4 linked regions of the Schizosaccharomyces pombe genome follow. The protein of the gene in region 4 binds, or shares a complex with, the protein of the main gene of each other region. Each region holds a gene or a part of one and is shown on either strand. Other genes may lie near its edges. The genes, in order: mrpl37, mrpl17, mrpl28 and mrpl23.

Region 1 (4,717 bases), on a different chromosome or scaffold from region 4:
AATACGATTATCGAGAGCCGGTTAGAGATTGGTAATAATAAGAGGAAAGGATCCATTCTGAATTAAGCATAAATATCATAAATACGAATTTCCAAAAAGGACGACGATTACTGGTGACTTTTATTCTTTTAATCTTTTGTGCGATTAAGTTATCTAAACAGTGATTGTCTTTTCTTATATTTTTAGGGATTGAAGGTATGCAACACAATCTTCGACACTTCCTTCAGGGTGTTTAAATTGCCAGGAAATCATGTTATCCATAGTCTCTTTCAGCTGCGGGCCAGGCTTAACTCCCACATTTTTCATGATCTGTTTTCCCTAAAAAATTGTTAGCTTATTCGCTCAATATTGTTAACAGAAATAAAAGAATTACATACGTCTAATAATGGCTTCATGTTATAAGCATTTTGTAAATTTTTGTCATAAATAAAGTCATATAGAGATTTATAAGAACTAAATGTATTTGATACAGATGCTGCCGGTGTTTTACAACAACTATATATGACCGATGTTAAAAACACGACTTCCCAGGATTTATTCAATTGTCGTATTAAGCTGCCAATAGATGAGCAATTTTTAGTGGAAGTATCGTTAACTAATTCATCGAATATCGGATTGAATGTGCAGCACTGATTCAACTGGTTAACATATGTACTTCTGAGCTTCAACTTGTCTTTTGCGATGATTGCAGGAATATAAAATTGTTTTTTCTTAACCATAACAGTTTGACTAGACCATGGAATTAGAGCAACATATAGCCATAGCCCAATTTTCTCATCTTCACTTAATTTCATAAGTTTAGGAAACGTCAATGCAAGACTCTGAAATAAAGACTCGGTAGCTTCCAATGCCTTTGGAATTTGAAATTCTTTTTCAGCTGGCAAAGTATCGAACGTAAACTGATACGTGTTCGTTGAATATAACAGTTGAAGTGCTAGCTTCGCGTTTGCACCCTTCAACATTTTCTCAATTTCCTCTCCTACACGTTCCTTGCTAACCTTTTTTTCAAAAGCTTTACATACTTTCGGATCTTGGATAGCGGAAACGACCGACGGATCAATTGTAAATTCAAATCTGGATGCAAACCGAATGCCTCTCAAAATTCGTAAGGGATCTTCCAAAAATGATTGGAGAGGTGAAATGGGCGTGACCAACACTTTGGTTTGCAAATCTTTATATCCTCGCTTTGTAATGTCCTCTATTTTTTCTGTTCGTATGTTAAAGAATAGGGTGTTAACCGTGAAGTCTCTTCTCAATGCATCTGTTTCAACAGTTCCTGGGGTAACGCTAGGAATTCGACTTTTATCATCATATGATTCTGCACGAAGTCCTACAAAATCAATATCAAGGTCAAATAGGGATAAGGTAGCAGTTTCTAAATGCTTGCTTTGATCGGGATTGACAGTTAGCTTGCCAAGTGCGTCTTTATATGGAATAACTGAGTCAGAGTCGAGAGAGTGAACATACTCAAATATTGAATTTGCAAAGTCAACACCGGTAACTTTATTCAACGTAACGTCTAAATCGTCACTAGAAAGCCCAAGAAGTTTATCGCGAACCCATCCTCCTGCCAATCTAACTTCCAATGACGAACTGCTGCTGGATTTAGATTCAATAAAATCAGCAGTCTTTTTCAAAAGATTAACAACTTTTTTCTCAACATCGTTCAATACAATTCTAGAATACATTTTCGTCAGCCAAATTCCATAAACGATACACAGTTTGGGCAATACCGGTTTCTCTAAGGTTGGCAGGTTGAGGTTTGAATATGCTTCTCTTAAAGAAGGACATGTAGTAGTAATTTTTTTTATGCTACAAATGTATATCACTGATATAAGGTTATTTAATATATTTTTATTTTAAAATGATTTTTGGATTCTGGGAAATGGTAAAGTAGCGAATGTCATATGCCTCAAAAAAAGTAAACAAAAAGAATGGATCAAATGCTCATAAGGATAGAGAGGAGATGGAAAATTAAGAGTTTCAAACATTCTAAAAGGTAATTATTTTTTAGTAAGAAAGTTAGCCGCTCGAATGGCACTTTTACGAGCATGACTTCGGGCAGTCTTAGAATTGGGAGCTGGCTCATCCAGAAGAGACCATAACCATTCTGGATATTCATGATCTTCACGAGCTACAGGGTCGACGCCACCCGCCTTTATACACAGTCCCTTTAATATAGTACCTGGAAGGACAGAACTAGTGTGCGTTTTATTAGCGACTTTTTGAGCTGAAGAAGTGGCATCCGAATTATGCTGTGGCTTTTTGGGTGAAACACGAGAGGATACATAACTTCGTTTAACTAATGATGAAGAAGAGTTACGGGAACTTCTTAAAACCAATGTGTTAGAGTAGCATGAGAATTGAGAGATACCGCGAGTAATTGCGCGCGATAAAGGGGCCATTGACTCGATAAATGGCATTGCTTAGACAGTAAACAAAAAACTTTGCAAGGAGGATAAAATCTTTAACCAAAAGTGGATCAAAGGCGATGAAAAAGGTCAATAGTAACGCCTTCGCATATATAAGGAGCAAATACGTCCTGCTCTTTGAGTGAAAAGTTTTAGAGAATAATATTATTTCAAGTACTATAGGAAATAAAAAATGACTCTATAAAGAGCCGCTTTCAAAGTTCAAGGAGTTTGGTTATGGGACAACCTGGACGTTACTATACAACTCATGTACAGATGGGTAGCAGACACAGGTACATGTAAGGGTTTCAAGCGTCTGTTTACAATTTGGGAATCAAAATAAAATTTTTGTTTTTGTTTTTTTCATAATTATAAACTATTGCTAAGTTCAAATGGGGTGTCGTTCTAACAAGAATGTCATTAAGTTTACAATAATAATACCAAGCACGCTTGAGTACTATAGGAATACTTATGAAATAAAGTAAAGCACAATCTATCAAGTGAGACTCTAGAAATGTTAATCGAAAATTGTATTTGTCTGTGTTCGACTATGTAAGAAAGTCAAAGAAATAAAATAATATGATTTATTTTTACAATAAATCATTAGCACATTAGAATATTTCTACTTCATTCATTTTTCTCAACTTGCAATGTTTCTTCGACAATCACTTGATTGTTGTAAATGGTAAAGAACCATTAGGTGTTATTTGGGATATTGAGGAACAATCTAGTAGTACGGTTTAAATAAAGAGAACATATATAGATTTTAGAATTAGTATTCAATTATGTTTAACGTTATGTCCTTCATTCGATACGTCAGAATTACCATTTTTTTTACTTGCGAAATGTACTTATTCCACACAGTTAGCGACTGATCCATTGAGGATCGAGAAGCGCTTGCAATCACTTTTTGTTAAAGAAAAATAGATTTACAATAAATTTGACAAATTGTACTAGTCGGTGTCTTAAGTCACTCGGGACAATTGAAAAAAATAAATCACTGACTTGCGAACTCTTCTTAGTTAATAGTTACACCTTTATGGGTGTTTTCTTAAAATTTCGCCAAGTTTTACTTTAGATAGAACATAAATCATTTAAAGTATTATCCATCTCATGAAAACAATAAAAAATCTGCAAGAAGATCAATAAACAAGCTTTAACCATCAGGTTATTCTCTTACTAGAATTTCATTATTTGCCTCGATAAATTCCTATAACATATTTCTCTAAGGCTCTTCGATATTCATTTTACAAATAAAAAAAATCATGCCGACAACGGCAGGATTCGAACCTGCGCTCCCAAAGGGAATCCGCTGGGCTACAGAATAGCAGGCGAACGCCTTAAAACCACTCGGCCACGTTGTCCTCCGTTGAGACGATTAGTATTAAGTAGATTATGTATTTAAATTTAATAAATTTATAAGAGATTATTTAGTGTACCGAAATAGTTTTAAATTCATTTATTTAGTATATTTTTGCTTATAACATTTCCGGTTCATTTTGGAAACGATTTAAATAAAGAAATTTTACAATTTTGTAAAAATGTATGCTTTCAATGTACAATTACGATTTTCCCTATTTTGCTTTTCTTACACTGAAGGAAATGCTTGTGATTTCCTCGATCAATATTTGATATCCTATTTTTTTCCCTCATTTATTTTCTGGGGGTTTTTTTTTCTTTCATCCTGTAGAGAAATTGTATATACTTTCTGTTTATTTCTATATTACTATAAGATGGGGATTTAGTTTTAAATAGTAATGAACCAAATTAAATTACATTGAACTTATCAATAGTATTATGCTTTGTGCTTCTGCGATTTATTTTTTTTATTTTTTAAAATTATTTTAATTTATTTTTGATGATTCGGGATTGCTTGTTAAAATATTCTCTTGTCAGCTTTCTACATAGTGCCATTTAAATATAGGTAAAAGATATTGCAATTGAAATCAACATATCTCCTAGCACAATATTAACCATTTGCGAATCCATTTAATAAATAATGCCTATTCCTACCATATGCATTAAAAAAAAAAAAAAAAAAAAAAAAAAAACACTTTGAATATTTATTTAAGCAAAAAGTATAATGTTTAATAAATGGTTCCATGAGATTTGATAAACTGTTCATTTGATGGTGTTTGACCTTTATATACTGCTTTAAATACACGTTGGAATTATCACAAAGAACAAGAACTTGTTCAGAGCTAGGATTCGAAAATAGAAATAAGTATATTTACACTGAATAAGTTTACTAAATATATGTTTTTTAAAATTTTATGTTTAAATATTTGGCGCTGTGAAAACCCTGT
Region 2 (5,314 bases), on a different chromosome or scaffold from region 4:
ACTTTTTGCTCCAAAGGCTGATTGCCAGATTTCTGGAGAACATTCATAATGAAACTGACTTCTTCATCAGAATCAACAGGCGCTTGATGCTGATTATCTTCGGATTCTTTTGCAGTTTCGAGGATTTGTCGTTGTATTTTTACTTGGTTTTTCTTTTGACAAGCTGCAAGCAAAACATCGTATGGCTGAGATCTTCCCGGAACGGCTCGTTTGCTTGACATTGAATGCGTTTTACATGTGAGAGATCTGGCGCACATTTGCCCATTAGGAAGCAAAACACCGCATTGCTTTTCAACATCCACAGGACCTTAATTGAATGTTAGTATTAAAGTAAACAGGTACTCCATTCTCCATATTGAACAGCATAAACCAACATACCTTTGACCTTTGGATTCTTCTTCTTGCTAGCCTCTTTCTTGGGAAGGGCGGATTTTGTAGGCTTTTTGTTTTCTTCTGTCTTCCGACGTTTTGGAGGCATTTCAGGATTCTTTTGACCATTAACTGAATTCTTTTCATGATTCCCAGCTGAGCCCTTAGCTGTCGATTTAACACCATTTTTGATGGGTGCATTATTGCCATTGTTGACATCTTTGTTTAAAACCTGAGAATTCGCAACAGGCTCAAATTGAGGCTTAGGAGGTTTAATTCCATTGCATGAGCTATGATGGTCCTCAATATACTCTGATAGGAAGGGTCGGTCGCATTTTGTGCATACAACATAATCGAGTTCTGAATTGTTAGGATATGACCCATACTGAGGAAAGGAATCAGCAGGTAGTAAAATTTGAGTTTGATTCGTAATGTTAGAAGTTATTTCATCCTTTACCTGTGATTCTGTATTATCAACTCTTTGATCAGCGAGTACATCTTTGGGTAACCCATCCGGGTATTTCAACAAAACTTGCTCATTTCTTTCCCAATTTTCTGGAAATAACTCCAAAGTCTGTTGTTCTGTTAACATTTTATTGATAAGAACCGAGTTTATAAACAGAATTCTACAAAGTTGCCCTTTGTCAATTCCTTTGTAGTGGGACTAAATCTGTAAGTCAAGTGTATGTACGGTTTAATGCTTCCAGAAAGCAAAGTCTATAATTGCATTCTAATGAACTTTCAAAGGATTATGCTGACACATATCATTTCTGATAATTACTAAATTATACAGACATTGTCTTTAAGGGCTAGACTATGACTGACAAAAGAATTTTTGATCTTGGAATTGAGGACAAACTACGGATATCAATTTTGATTAACAATTCTATTTTTTTAGGTCCCTTGAGCTAAACATAGTTTATTATTAAGGTGCGCGCTTTTCCCGTTTTCTCGTACACTGCCAAGAATCCACAGATCATGAGGGTGAGTAATCATGAAATCCGGACTCCAAAAGTAGGCGGCTGAAAATAAAATACTGGCAGAATCATTTGCAAATAAAAAGATAGAATAAATAAGGAGAAATACTTAGTGAAATTCCAAAATTATTTGTTTTTTTTTACATCGTACCAAAACATCAAAAATTAAGGAGAGAAAAAAATAGAAAACGTGAAAATTAAGCTGAAAAATGCAGTAAGATTGTAGAAAGATTGAATTTCCAAGATGAAATGTTCCGCTGTTTATTTTCCGTAGATTTTACATATTGTTTGCTCAATTGAAGATTACAAACGATCGGAAAGTATGTTTTTTACAGAATCCCATGAAGAAGGAGAAAGTTTGTTTTTCAGTTCATCGTACGTACACCAAACCCAGTCATAAACGTTTTGCAGGTTAGGTACATCTAATCCATTTAATAAACGAGCACGTAACAAGAAGGTCTAGAAATAACTGGTTAAACAAAAAATCAACCCAGATAAAATGAGAACAAAAAATCCGTAGTCTTACCTTTTCTTGTTCCGTTTTTAGTAATGCTAATGGATGACGTGCAACTAGCCAAGTCAACGAATTTTCGTCTAATATATTTTTTAAAAGATCTTGACATAACTACAGTTTGTTAGAAAGGCCAATCTGCAGACTATGTAAACAAAAATTGCAAGAGTATTTGATAAATTATTTAGCATCAAATCAATAGTAAGTAGTCTCTTGCACTATATTGTGTATCTTGGAATCGAATTTTAAAAAATGTACTTACCAGATGCAGCGCCTTCTCGGAGCTTGTAACAGGAGTGTTAGGAAATTGCCAACCCGAGCTTTTAGATTTTTTTACCAACAAGTAAAGGGACTTGTCAAGCGAGCGAAGAGTGCTTCGCTCATCGTTTTTCGTATCAGCTTCTGTGACTCTGGATTGCAAGTGAGTTGCAGAATCCAATAATTTGTTAGACTCCATCTCTTTCCTTTCCTTTCCAAATATCGTCTCAAAGGGTGATTCTTTACCTTTTAGTGTTTTTTGTCGTTCTTGCCAATCTTTTTCACCCACCGATCCCTTCTTGAAATAAAATTCTGCAGGTAAAGGATCACTCAGCTCATTCCAAAGTTCCGCATTATATTTATATATAGATTTTTCGAATTCGGATGGTTGGCGAGTAAGAATTGGCGATCTAATTAAAATTGTACCCACTGAACAACCTAAGATATGTTAGCAATCATGTACATCAAAGGTAATTTTTTTATTTATATTTAATATCCCTAGATAATTCATTTTCATTTTTTAATTCTGTACCTTTTAGAGGAGTCGAGTTAGACAAGGGTTTAGAGGATTGAATGGAATTTCGTACAGAAATGTGAAATTGACGCGAAAAAGACCTCTGCATATTTATAATATTTCTCTTCAAGTACATTGTTTAAACTTAGTCAATTTACGCCAAGTAAATCTCCAAATTTCGGCTTTGTTTACTAATCCGGTAAAGACCACTTGGTAAAGGCAATCGACGTTTCGCTATGGCTAGCACTACCACCTGTTTTACCAGCGTACATTACACGCTTCGTTAAGTACTGTAATATTTCTTAGAGACTCTGTTGCTATCGTTAATATGTTTTAATAGATTTCTTTGGATTTCGTTATAATTCAATTTAACTCACTTAGAATGGGGAATTGCTGACGCAGTAAACCTTTCAATCCCCATAACAATGTCTGCTTCCGTCGAATTAAAACGTAAGAAATTTGGCTAAATTCTTCTAACGTGTGGATAGCTACAGAGAAGTTCAGTAAATTTCTCGAGGAGTACTCTTCGGTACCGGTTCGCGCCGCCATTATTAGCATTTCTAATGGTAAGTTTCCATTCGGGCTAGAAGAGTAAATTTTAAGTTAGTTGAAGTTACTAAATGATTTAGAGAATTCATTTGACGTGAAAACAATGGTTGAAAAATCAGAATCGATAGAATCTGATTTTAAGAAAGTCCGTGAATGTTTGCTCGGATCTGAAGAACCTGCATTTGTCCTCGTTTATGATGATAGCAAGAAAAATCTATTACAATTAATTTCCTATGTCCCTGAAAATGCGAATGTTCGCAGGAAGATGTTATATGCCTCTAGTCGTGCTGCATTTGTAAGATGCGTAACTCTTGCTAAACTCGACGAGTCTTATTTCGCAAGTACTCCGGAAGAGTTAGATTATCAGCAAATTATGAAGAGCTTAAGCAAGCAAGAGGACCAAAGTCCTTTACGACAAGATGAACTCGAAAGGAAAGAGTACAATGAGGTAGGTAAACTGTATTGGGGTGGATGGATTTTTCATACTTCTTTACCGTGGCTCGTAGAATTTATAGCTTCTACTCTTTTATTTGCATCTATTTTAACAACTATGTAGTCTATGCAATCCTCAGTAACTCATAAGCGTCCTTTGGTGACCCGTGGTGTTGCTATGTCGATTGATGATAAAGCCTTAAAGGCTCTTTCTGATTTAAAATCATCTACAGAAAACAATCTTGTTATTTTGGTAAGGAAGCTATGATACTTTTGCTATGTATGGTGTTGCTAACCTCCTTTAAAAGTCTATTGACAAAGAAGTCATAAGTTTAAGTCAAGAAAAGCAAAATATACCTCCTTCTGATGTGAAATCCTTCTTTTCTTCCACCGAACCTAATTTCGCTTTCTATTCCCTGCCAAAAGACGGCTCTTCAAAAATTTGTAAGTACAGATGCAGGATCATTTTATTAACAAGGTCTAGTGTTTATATACATTTGTCCAATGCAAGCAACTGTCAAACATCGAATGGTTTATTCTTCTTCCAAACTTGGTCTTTTGGATAGTATTAAAGCAGAATTGGGTATTGTTATTGATGGCAAGGTATGTTTATCCCTCGTAGTAGATTTTATGCTCACATGACAGATTGAATCGAATGATGCCGCTGATATAACTGAAAAGGAAATTCTTCATGCTGCTGGGATATCAAGTCCTCAAGCAGAAACAAGCACCACCAAAACTGGTTTTTCGAGACCTCGACCCCCTAGAAGACGTTAAGCAAGTATATACAATTTTTTGCGGTTTCAAATTTACAGACTTTTTAGTTTATCAATCTTTTTCATGACATTTCAAATTCGAATTAAAACAAAATATACTACCAACGCCTATATTGAGCACACGTTGCATGCTATATTAACGGTCTCACTTTGCAATGCAAAATGTTATACTTCAATAAATAGAATAAGACAATCACTAGATCTATACATTGTTTCCTCTTTTCTAAAAGCGAAATCCTTAAAGACTCCATTCTTGACGAGTGTTAATCTTGCAAACATATATTGTTCAAACATTAAAGAAACACTATCCTTCATTAACAAAATAAATACTCTTTTGGAAATTGTAATTGACCTCAAAAGTTACTTTCTGATTTCCAAAAGATTAGATATGATATAATATTAAAAGCATATGCACCAAACCATAACTCCTATCATAAATACATAACTCATAATCAGTCATTTGAAAGAGACTGTATACAGTTAACAACCTTTTCCCGTATTGTCTTGCTTATTTTATGTTGCTGAGGTCCTTCAAGCGACAGAGTACCATCCGATAACGCAGTGTATACAGATCGACAGATATTCTTATTGAATAGAGCAAATTGATCTTTAGATATTTTTGCTTCTCGATAATAAGGCTTCAGAGCTGCGTTAACTAGCCGTTCTATTCGATACTTCGTTTCATAAGAGACTTTTTTGCTGGAATGCACCAAATCATGTCGGCCCGAAGTGCGTCGTTGATGCATACTCGTATCATTAACTAAATGATTATCCACAATTTCTCCTGGTTCCGAAAGTTCAATCAAATGGTCATCCAAATTATCATTACTGATTTCCCTAGGTGATAGCGGTACGTGAGATGGTCGAGGAGAGAGATTTGAGAAAAGAGGAGTCAAGTGAACGTCTGAAGTTCCATCCGAAGCTTCAG
Region 3 (4,763 bases), on a different chromosome or scaffold from region 4:
AGCCTTGCGTGAGCTTATCGGTGATAACGAAAAATTGATTTCCATTGGTATTGCCAAGGATGGCAGTGGTATTGGTGCCGCTCTTTGCGCCCTCCAAGCTGTTAAGGAAAAGAAAGGCTTGGCCTAAATCATGTTAGATGTCTGTTAGCTTTTTTTGAATTGTACGTAGAAATGAGCATGTAAATATGAAATTGCTTTTTAACAGCTTTTAGTTAAGATGTTTTTTTTGAAAGTGAATTTATTTCCTGGAATTAGTTAATAGTATGAAGATTGAATATCAGATGAATTAAAAAGCATGTTGTGATTGATGTTATATGTCTCTTTAAAACAAAATTGTGGTTGTGTATTGTTATTAAATTTGTTACGATTTTGTTAACATTCCAAAAAAGAGTACGGAATTTACAAACATTACAGGACATCTCAAAGATGTGTGTGTAAATTGATTCTAACAAAAAGAAATTTGATTTTTTTTAATCTGAGTTTGTAAAAAATAAGATTCATCATACCCTATTATCTCAAATTTATGAATTATTCGGGTTCAAGATAAAATCTTCTTTTTCTTTCAAGAAATCCAATTAACCAAGATTTGTTAAAAAATATTTTTCTCATCGTTTAGTAAATTTTTCTGCAACGTTGAACGGTGAAGTTGTGCTAGCAATACTGCATACTATATAAATAAGAACCGGAAAGCGTTTTCCAACACCCAAAAGGTGTTTTTTATACTTTATTCAAGAGTTAAAAATTAAATAGCACGGTAGTAAAACCAAATTGAACAAATTAAAAATTGAAAGCGTCTCAAGTTTAAAATTTATTTAAAGAGCTTATATCAAAAAAGTAGAAAACTTTCCAAAAGGATTTCTCAAAAGAAAATCCTCCTCATTTTAATAAATCATTGTTTAGATAGATTTGGTTAAATTTTAACCAAAAGGATTATCTATTTGCTAATTTTTTAGATAACTGGAAATTGCCTAATTACACAATCTTTTTTACCTTTTTTTGATGATTGTATGTTTAAAGGGGATGTAGTTCAACTAAAAAATTGCTTATTAAACATGCAAGAGTAAATGATTATTGAATATGTATAGTTGCAACAAGAAGCAAGGTTGCGAGAAATGACAAATGGGTTGACTCAACTTTTTTCTCATTTAAATTTTTGTTTCAGTCATTTTAATAAGGTCCTTGTGAATCGATATCAAAAGAGGAGGTGGAATAATTATAAAGATAACGTTTCTGAATATCATGGTTTTCGAAAAAGAAAGTCTTTGAGGTCATGAAGTTTAGGCTGCTTTCGGTTTTTTTACTCCATACTTGCTTCGGGATGTGACACGTCCCGCTACACCAGCAATGTCATAGACACCCCGAACAACATGATATTGGACTCCTGGACAATCCTGTGCTCTGCCGCCTCTTAACAATACCACAGCATGCTCCTGTGCATTATGACCGATACCTGGAATGTAAGCAGTAACAGAACGGCCGGTTGAAAGGCGTACACGGGCAACCTTTCTTACTGCCGAATTAGGTTTTTTGGGTTTTACTGTAAAGACCCTCGTGCACACACCCCGTCGAAACGGACTTCCCTCTAAAGCAACAGATTGCTTATTTGTTTTTTCAGGACGTTTCTCTTTATTTCTTATCGTTTGATTTAATGTCTTTAACATAACTGAAGAGCTAGAAAACGCTTGAGCCTGAAATGGTGAAATAACTGTTGGCTTCATCAACCTTGAAATTACCGGATATCGAGCATATTGAGCAAAACGGATCATTATTTGGGGAAATTTAATATTTGAGCTGTATAAAATCTCAAAAATCACTATAATAGATGCTTGAGCAAGGAATTCCGAAGTTTGTACCCGAACGTCGCTGGTTTGGTGTTAGTGTATGTATATTGCCTTGGAATAGAATATCTCGCAGCATTCATATTATTCGATGGGATACAAAAATTTATTCTTTTATATTTTGACAAACATTTTTGGGTATAACTAGCGTATTAAATATTTTTTCCTCTAGGAATTGAACTTTAATGGACTAGTCTAAAACAGATGCAGAATGTAGGTATGCTAATCGACAAATTTACAGTACAGTGTTAAGCTGAAAAAATCAACTTAATTCATGACTTCTACTGAAAAACGTACTGGAAGTAGATTGTATTGAGGTTTAAGCTTCGTTTTGCCATGCCATTTTCAGTTGATGATAGTATTTATTACAATAACTTATCCATTCATTAAAACTTTAAACACTGATATGGATTTATCAATGTGTTTGACTACTTACATGAAACTTAGCAGAAAAATTGAGCATCAGGCCTACTCCATATAAAGCTTTGACTTAAAACTTAATATTTTCTACTTGTTAAATGTCTTCGTTTGGTTACATATCTCCATAAATGCATATGCTTTGTTTGGCTTAGCTACTGAAAATTCAGAAACAATTAAATGAACTCCGAATTATAATCTATATTTTTTTTATCAGTGTGTGAAATTGAAGGGGATTTGATGAAACACTTCTTTTTTTGAAATATCGTACTGGTGGCTTTTCCTAGTGTATCACGACTTACTCTCTTAATTAGCTTCATACCACTGAACACGTTTACTACTACCGCATTTTTCTCTACTCAGGTTTTTTAGCTTTTAAAGGAAGGTTTTATGTTAATACTTTTGAAAATTAAATTTTTTTCTATCAACGTGAAAAAATTCAAGGAGTACTTTAGTTTGTGTTGAAAAGTTTTTTGGCAGATGCGTTCTACGTTACAATTAATGGCTAAGGCCTCAAAGGGAAAGCACCAATCTGGTCCTTCTAATCATAGTGAGTCAATCGATTTGGTTAGAAAAGCTCTTTACGGAAATAAAAAAGTCAGGTCTTTGAAAATGAATCCAGACATGTGGGAAAAACACGAAGTTATTAATCGCGCTTGGCGTATACACGAATATCGACAAGAAAAACAAAGAGAGAATCTTCTAAAAAACCAATTCTCTGCAATGAAAATTGCTTGCGAGGAACTGAAGCATACGAGTGAAACATTATATAAAGCCGCAATGAGCGATTCAATTAACAGGAGGTTCCCCGTAGAAACGAGGACTCCTACGGACACACCACCACGGCTTTCTAAATAGGCGAGCGCCTTTTATGAGTATAATTAATATCTTCGGTAGTGCTCGAAAGTGTTATAGACAAGTTCAAGTATATAAAAAAATGTATCACTAATTACGAGCAAGTATAATCTAATTAGGATTTTTAAATAAACCAATAATTGAATTAAAGAATTATGTCTCCTAGTTTCTAGTCTACATGTATCATATTATTCATTCCCAATTTCACCGTAAACGAATGATACAAAATGAAAGGCCATGCTTTCTTTTTTAACCAAAAATTTAGAATTGTTACCAAACCCAAACCCTACCTCGAAAACAATAAAATATGACCCAAACACTGTTTTCTTTTTACAACGTGTCGCAGATGAGACAAAATGTCTTTAAAGCCAGAATTTACGTCTATCTGATTCTTCACCGGCATTGCTCTCGAAGAAAACCTCCCCTTCTTTCCTATCCCATACTCCTTTTTGAACCATACGAAGACGCATGGTAAATCGAGGACCTAATTCTTGTAGCCCAGTTCCAATACCATCTGGCATATTCGATTTTTCACGAAATGCATAACGGTGTCTTCGAAAAAAAAGAAAATCTCTTTGACAATGGATGGTAACAACTTGTCGCCCTTGAATTTGAGGCGTTTGAATAAATAATGATTGAAAGGCTCGAGCAACAGTCATACCAAGTCTCGTTGAGAAATTGTTGATTATCAGTTCTGGAATATGACCAGTGGAGCGGCCATGATTTGAAATTTCCTTTGCTGTTTGGAGATTCGATAAGGTAAAATAGAACGAAGGGCCATTCGGTAAGTGTACAAGGGTTAATGCATTTGTTTTTTTACGATCCTCATTTAATACCAGTAAATCGGTGTAACCACGCTTAGCAGCGGCTTCTGCGATTTCATGAACTTCAATATCTCCGGTTCTTTTTCGAAATTCAGCATTAGGAAAACAATCTAAAAGCTCAGATGCAAAATCATAGCATTTTCTAGAGGCTCGTTTACTCGTGGTTACCAAAAGTTTCGGAACTTTCCTTTCTTCACTAAAGTATGCAGAAAACTCATCATCTTTTAACTCCGCCTGAAGTTCCTCATCGGGTTTATCCTCTATGATAGTTTCATCATAAACTCGTTTCGATTCAATAGTAGCGGGAATATTTTCTGAAAGTCGCAATCTCTTCTTTTCCGGGTCTTTTTCTTCTTCTTTAGCACGTTCTTTTCTTCTTTCAAGCTTGTCCTTATTTTTTTGATGAAGAGCCTTCATATACTGCTGTTGGCGGACAATTTTGTTTTTAATCTTCCCCATTTTAATAAGTTGCGTATAATCTCTCAAAATTTAAAATTTAAGAATGAAATAATTTAAATCCTTACAAAAAATTGCAACTAAAAAAAATTGAGATAAGAATGAGCAACTTAAGTACAAATAAAAGAGAGTTAAAAAAAAGTATACGATGGGTTTGAAGTCTCAAAAACTTATTGCACAATCCAATTCCATGTCGCAAAATACCGAATCTGAAGAACATGCTACGAATTTCGTCAAATTTGCTTAAAAGTATTAACGCAGTATTATATCACACTGCTGTTAAGCAAAATGTATACTTTAGTTACAATTACTGTTTGTAAATAGGTGATATTACAATCCGAAATCGTACACTATAGATATCCTCATCATTAAA
Region 4 (4,725 bases):
ACAGGTAAAGTAATAGGAAAATTCACGAAAGACAGCTAGTGAAATTAAATGTTAGTGAGATATACTATCGTAAACCGTAGTTATGTAATAGGATCAAGCTAACCAGCGAAGTAACCGCTACCTCCATGAATTTTATCACACCAATGTTCAGCATAAAATGTAGTAACAAATATTGTTATACAAAGTATATCCATTTTTATTGACTATGAATTTATTAAATAATGTTTTCAAGTGAGCAAGACGAACCCGAAAACAGAAAAACAATAAGCCCATAAATTTTTGTTTATTTAAGTAAATATCTCAAGCCGTCTAAATTAGTCATGTGAACTTGCAATCAGCATTACATTTTGACTAACTCTTAGAACTTATATGAAGTAGAAGTTGTTGCCTCGGTACCGCGGTATTATATGCAGTTCATTTTGTTTTGGAGAATGCAAAATCGAGTTCGCTCTAAACAATTCTTTTAAGCAATAATCTTAAAAGGCAAATATTGAAATCAAAGATACGTAGCTGTTTCAACTATAAACAAGTACATTCCAAATTTTAAATCTAGAGATTAGGGTTTTCCACGGTAGTTTAAAGAGCGAAAAGGCATTCAGATGAACAAAAGATGCTAAGTTTTTTAGCTAAACCCGCTTATACTTTCTTATTTCTCGAGGACTTTAGCCTCTCTACTTACCTAAAAGTTTCTGTACAGTGCAATACAGGTTACTTCGTTATATTTTTTAACTGTTGACTACGCAGTTCGGTATCTGTTTAACGATACGAAAAATTGCGGTACGTTTCTCTAGCGACCTACAATATAGCGGTATGCAATATTTAACTAACAATGTATATTTATTGTTATAAGAAGTCTATTAGTATCGGTCACCGATATAGCTAATAACTGAGCTGAGGAACGAGGTTCAGTGGTAGCTCTATTTACAATCTTTCTAATAGTTTTTAGCAATTTATTTATGTATGCAGAAAAGCAATTTATCCGCATCTATCAGCAAACGAATCTTAAGTAATATCTTAGCATATGACATATAGTGATACGCAACGTACTGTATCATAGCTAGTGTAGTTCTGCTAACATTAACATGTACTTCTTTGTTTGTATTATGCATATAGCATTAACCGCGTTAAGCTAAGTTAACGTTACGAAGAGCGTACAGAAGAGATTCAGTTTAGTAACTGCGAATTGTTAATTGTTCTCATAACTTAGCCTACATCTAGTGTAAGACGACGATTGTGAAAATTCACCTTAAAAAATTCAACAAGTCTTGCAAATTATGACTTGAATAATTTTCCATTAAGAAGAATAAGCACACAATGTTTTTTGATGACAAGATAACTTGACATTCTGCCATTCATGCGGTTTCATACACATCAATTAATTTAGTGCATAAATACAATATAACAAGTTATTAAATTTTAGAAGAAGAATGAAAAAGCAATTCCTTGTACGTAAAAACTCGTCAAATTCTCGCTACCTTCGTCGAGATTGCGTTATATGTTTACAAAAAGATGGTCTTCGGGCACAGCTATCTCCATGTGGGCATGACCAGTTCGATTATTCTTGCATATGTCGCTGGATGGATCAATCCTTGACATGTCCCATCTGTAAGAGACACGTAGATTGTGTGTTTTATGGATTTCATGGGTCAAGTTTGTATAAGAAGTGGTATACTCAATCTTTGGGGTCAAATCAGTATTCGATTTCACGACAATTACTACGGCAGCCTTCATTTTCCTCCAGCGAAAACACTGACAGATTGGCCGATTTGCTACGCGTACGACGTTTCATCTATCAAAAGGCATGGAAAAGCTATGAAAATCCCTCGCTTTCATCACATAGGCAATATCAAATACCCACTCCTATCCAACTAGCTTCTAGCGCATCTTTATTAAAGAAAGTGGAAAGCTTTATTGCTAAAGAACTTCTCTTGTTTGAATATTTAGATGGACATCAAATTAACTTTATACAAATCTTTTTGATGGGTCTCTTACGAGTTCAGAATATTCAACATCCACAAACCATTGATGAATTAGCGGAATTTATAGGCCATGAAGAGTCCTCTATACTCCTCCATGAATTGCAAAGATATTTACAATTCCGTCCATTGTCGATAAGCAGCTACTTGTATAGCAAGCGATATTTGTATGGTCCGGAAGGCTTAACAATGGTTCAGCTGTTGAGTCAAATTGAAAACATTCAGCATGAATCTGGTCCTGAGACGGAAAATTCGTAATCAAGCGTTAATTGTATATTATTGCAATTTACTGTGATTCTTTGGGCTTATCAAAAATTAGTTTTATCATTGTATCGTTCATTGCCTTATTTTTTCTAATATATACAAATGGTATTTTTTGAAGCAATAGCTATTAGCTTTATCATGATTAGTAAAGGAGGTTCGTATTATGAATTGAAAAATCAATATTTAAGAAATAATAAATAAAACAACATTTTTGAAAAATAGAAATTTTGTAGGTAACAGTTACCTTACTACAGTTGCTTAGCATCCAATATTTACCCACACCTACAAGCTTGAGGAAACATTATTTGAGCAATTTTCCTACTTCTCTTTTATTAGAAACCACTGATATTGTACTGTCGCTTTAAGAGAAAAATCAGAAGGAACTGAGGATTTTATGATATAGAAATCTCAACGCGATGTCAACGTTGAATGGACAAGTATGAAATTAGTTTGACAGTTTCTTTTACTAACAATATCAGACAGCATTGGCTTACGCCAAAGTTTGGCATCATGTTTCTGCAAAAAATGTTCCTCTAGGTAGGCTGGCTTCCCAAATTGCAACTACTCTTATGGGCAAGCACAAACCCATTTATCACCCTGCAGCAGACTGTGGAGATGTCGTAGTAGTCACTGACTGTTCTGAAATTGGGATTTCTGGTCGAAAACTCGAAAATCATAAATATTATTCACATTCGGGTCAGCCTGGTCATCTTAAAGAGTGGACGATGGAAGAAATGGCTGCGAAACGGGGGCACAAGGATTTGTTGAGAAGAGCAGTTGGTGGAATGCTTCCAAGAAATAAGCTTTGGGATAGGAGAATGAAACGTCTTTATATTTACGATGGAGCTGAACACCCTTATAAGGCAAACATATTTCGTTCCTACCATAATCCTGTAAGTTCGCAAATTGCGAAGGAATTATTCTCGAAATAAGTGTTTAAAATCTCCTTTAATTTTAAAAGGTAGTTCAAAGAACAAAAGCCATATCCCTACTCACTTAAATTTCATTGATTTTTTGCATTAATGTTTGAACATTCCACAATGTCGTATGCCCTAAAAAGCTAACACATTTTAATATTGTTCTTTCCAAAAAAAATTATTTTATATAAATTAATGTTATTGTATTCACTATAAGAAGCTGTAATGTATTTAAAGACACATTTACGTTTGTGAACTGGTAAGAATGAATGTCTGGTAACCATAAGAGGACTACAACTTTTCTTGCGAGTAAAAAGTAGATAACATGAGACGTCGACATAAATAACGACATTTGGAAATTATCTCCAAAGCCAGATAAACGCGCTAAAAAGTACCCTATCGTTGTGAAGAGCAAACAAATTCAACAAACGTCAACCTAAAACCTTGCTTAGCAAAGGCCATATAAAGTAATAAAATCAAGAGCCATTAACTTAGGGAGAAGATTTTACACTTCTTATTAAACATATCTACGCTTTACATTTTAAAAGAAAAGATAGCCAATAAGGAAGAAAATCAGGCAAAGAATGATAACAATATTGGGAGGAATTCCTGGAGATTCGGTTAAAGAAGCACCAGTGGAACTCGAAGGGTCAGCTGAATAAGAGGGCTTGATTTGTTCCAAGGCGTTGTCGGAACTATGAGCACCTGCAGCAGGTTTTGCCCCTTGTAAAGATTCACGAGTTTCAGATCCGAGATTTTCAGAAACTTTTTCAACGGCAGGGGTAGATTCAGGAAGTTTAGAATCGAAATCATTCTTCTTAGTATCAAATTCTTCATTGACAGCTGATAAATTTTGGGGGACGGGAGGAGGGGGGTGGACTGGTGGAGTCGAAGAAACAGAGCGACGAGGGCTTTCTGAAGGCTTTGGAATTTCATTATCAATAATATCTTGTACCTTCGATCTAGCAACATCGGCTCCTTTGGAAGAAGCACTTTCGGCTGTCACAATGGTATCTTTGACAGAAGCAGCACCATTGTCAGCATCAGTAACAACGGTTTGAACTACACTGGCGTCGGGAATTTGTGCACTTTCGAAAGTAGAGCGGAAGGTACTATCTGGAACAACAGTATTAACACCATTGCTTAAATGATCCTTTGCTCCATTGAAGTCATTTTGAGCTTCATCCAAAGACACACCAACCGCCGTAGGGCCGCCGACAGAAGATGCTAAGTTTTCGGAACCTTCAACAGAAACAGGGGGGTTAGAAGTACTAGTGTTCTCAACCTGTTTATCAGCGGATTGAGGAGGTTGCTTAGTTGAATAAACACAGCGGATTTTACGATCAAAAATGGAACGGCCTTGTTTTTCCATTTCAGTCCAAAACTCGTGATAATTTTCGACATTACTGGTATCAGCATCACCGATAGCCATACTTTGAATTAAAAACTTGTCACGACATTTAAAGTCAGGAGCAGGCTCCTCCTTCATAGCTTGAAGCAAAACTAGAATATATGTTAGCCAAGATAATAGAAAAACACTAGAGGCACGTAAAGATAAAAAAAAAAGA

What was found.
Region 1: mrpl23 (region 4) and mrpl37 share a complex: the UniProt entries of both Schizosaccharomyces pombe proteins name them as parts of the mitochondrial large ribosomal subunit.
Region 2: mrpl23 (region 4) and mrpl17 share a complex: the UniProt entries of both Schizosaccharomyces pombe proteins name them as parts of the mitochondrial large ribosomal subunit.
Region 3: mrpl23 (region 4) and mrpl28 share a complex: the UniProt entries of both Schizosaccharomyces pombe proteins name them as parts of the mitochondrial large ribosomal subunit.

The regions. Positions count from the first base shown.
Region 1 is NC_003421.2:1,252,251-1,256,967, reverse strand, and holds mrpl37 (mitochondrial 54S ribosomal protein mL54), read right to left. Parts: upstream 2,651-4,717; 5' UTR 2,424-2,650; coding exon 2,004-2,423; 3' UTR 1,742-2,003; downstream 1-1,741. Other genes in the region: protein mug117, read left to right, coding at 1-35; cca2 (ATP/CTP tRNA nucleotidyltransferase), read right to left, coding at 175-318, 378-1,688. UniProt on the Schizosaccharomyces pombe protein: Component of the mitochondrial ribosome (mitoribosome), a dedicated translation machinery responsible for the synthesis of mitochondrial genome-encoded proteins, including at least some of the essential transmembrane subunits of the mitochondrial respiratory chain.
Region 2 is NC_003421.2:2,122,896-2,128,209, forward strand, and holds mrpl17 (mitochondrial 54S ribosomal protein mL46), read right to left. Parts: upstream 2,851-5,314; 5' UTR 2,766-2,850; coding exon 2,648-2,765; exon of another isoform or gene 2,554-2,647; coding exon 2,120-2,553; intron 1,972-2,119; coding exon 1,873-1,971; intron 1,806-1,872; coding exon 1,650-1,805; 3' UTR 1,238-1,649; downstream 1-1,237. Other genes in the region: SAGA complex deubiquitinating submodule subunit Sgf73, read right to left, coding at 1-307, 379-961; twf1 (twinfilin), read left to right, coding at 3,055-3,079, 3,118-3,195, 3,259-3,626, 3,735-3,863, 3,919-4,054, 4,095-4,213, 4,256-4,387; ubiquitin-protein ligase E3 Asr1, read right to left, coding at 4,839-5,314. UniProt on the Schizosaccharomyces pombe protein: Component of the mitochondrial ribosome (mitoribosome), a dedicated translation machinery responsible for the synthesis of mitochondrial genome-encoded proteins, including at least some of the essential transmembrane subunits of the mitochondrial respiratory chain.
Region 3 is NC_003424.3:2,667,057-2,671,819, forward strand, and holds mrpl28 (mitochondrial 54S ribosomal protein mL40), read left to right. Parts: upstream 1-2,594; 5' UTR 2,595-2,756; coding exon 2,757-3,113; 3' UTR 3,114-3,312; downstream 3,313-4,763. Other genes in the region: hxk2 (hexokinase 2), read left to right, coding at 1-127; mrps12 (mitochondrial 37S ribosomal protein uS12m), read right to left, coding at 1,278-1,766; Brix domain-containing protein Rpf1, read right to left, coding at 3,473-4,393. UniProt on the Schizosaccharomyces pombe protein: Involved in mitochondrial genome encoded proteins translation.
Region 4 is NC_003423.3:4,217,247-4,221,971, forward strand, and holds mrpl23 (mitochondrial 54S ribosomal protein uL13m), read left to right. Parts: upstream 1-2,526; 5' UTR 2,527-2,656; coding exon 2,657-2,677; intron 2,678-2,719; coding exon 2,720-3,172; 3' UTR 3,173-3,370; downstream 3,371-4,725. Other genes in the region: mrz1 (ubiquitin-protein ligase E3), read left to right, coding at 1,428-2,234; scs2 (VAP family protein), read right to left, coding at 3,699-4,660. UniProt on the Schizosaccharomyces pombe protein: Component of the mitochondrial ribosome (mitoribosome), a dedicated translation machinery responsible for the synthesis of mitochondrial genome-encoded proteins, including at least some of the essential transmembrane subunits of the mitochondrial respiratory chain.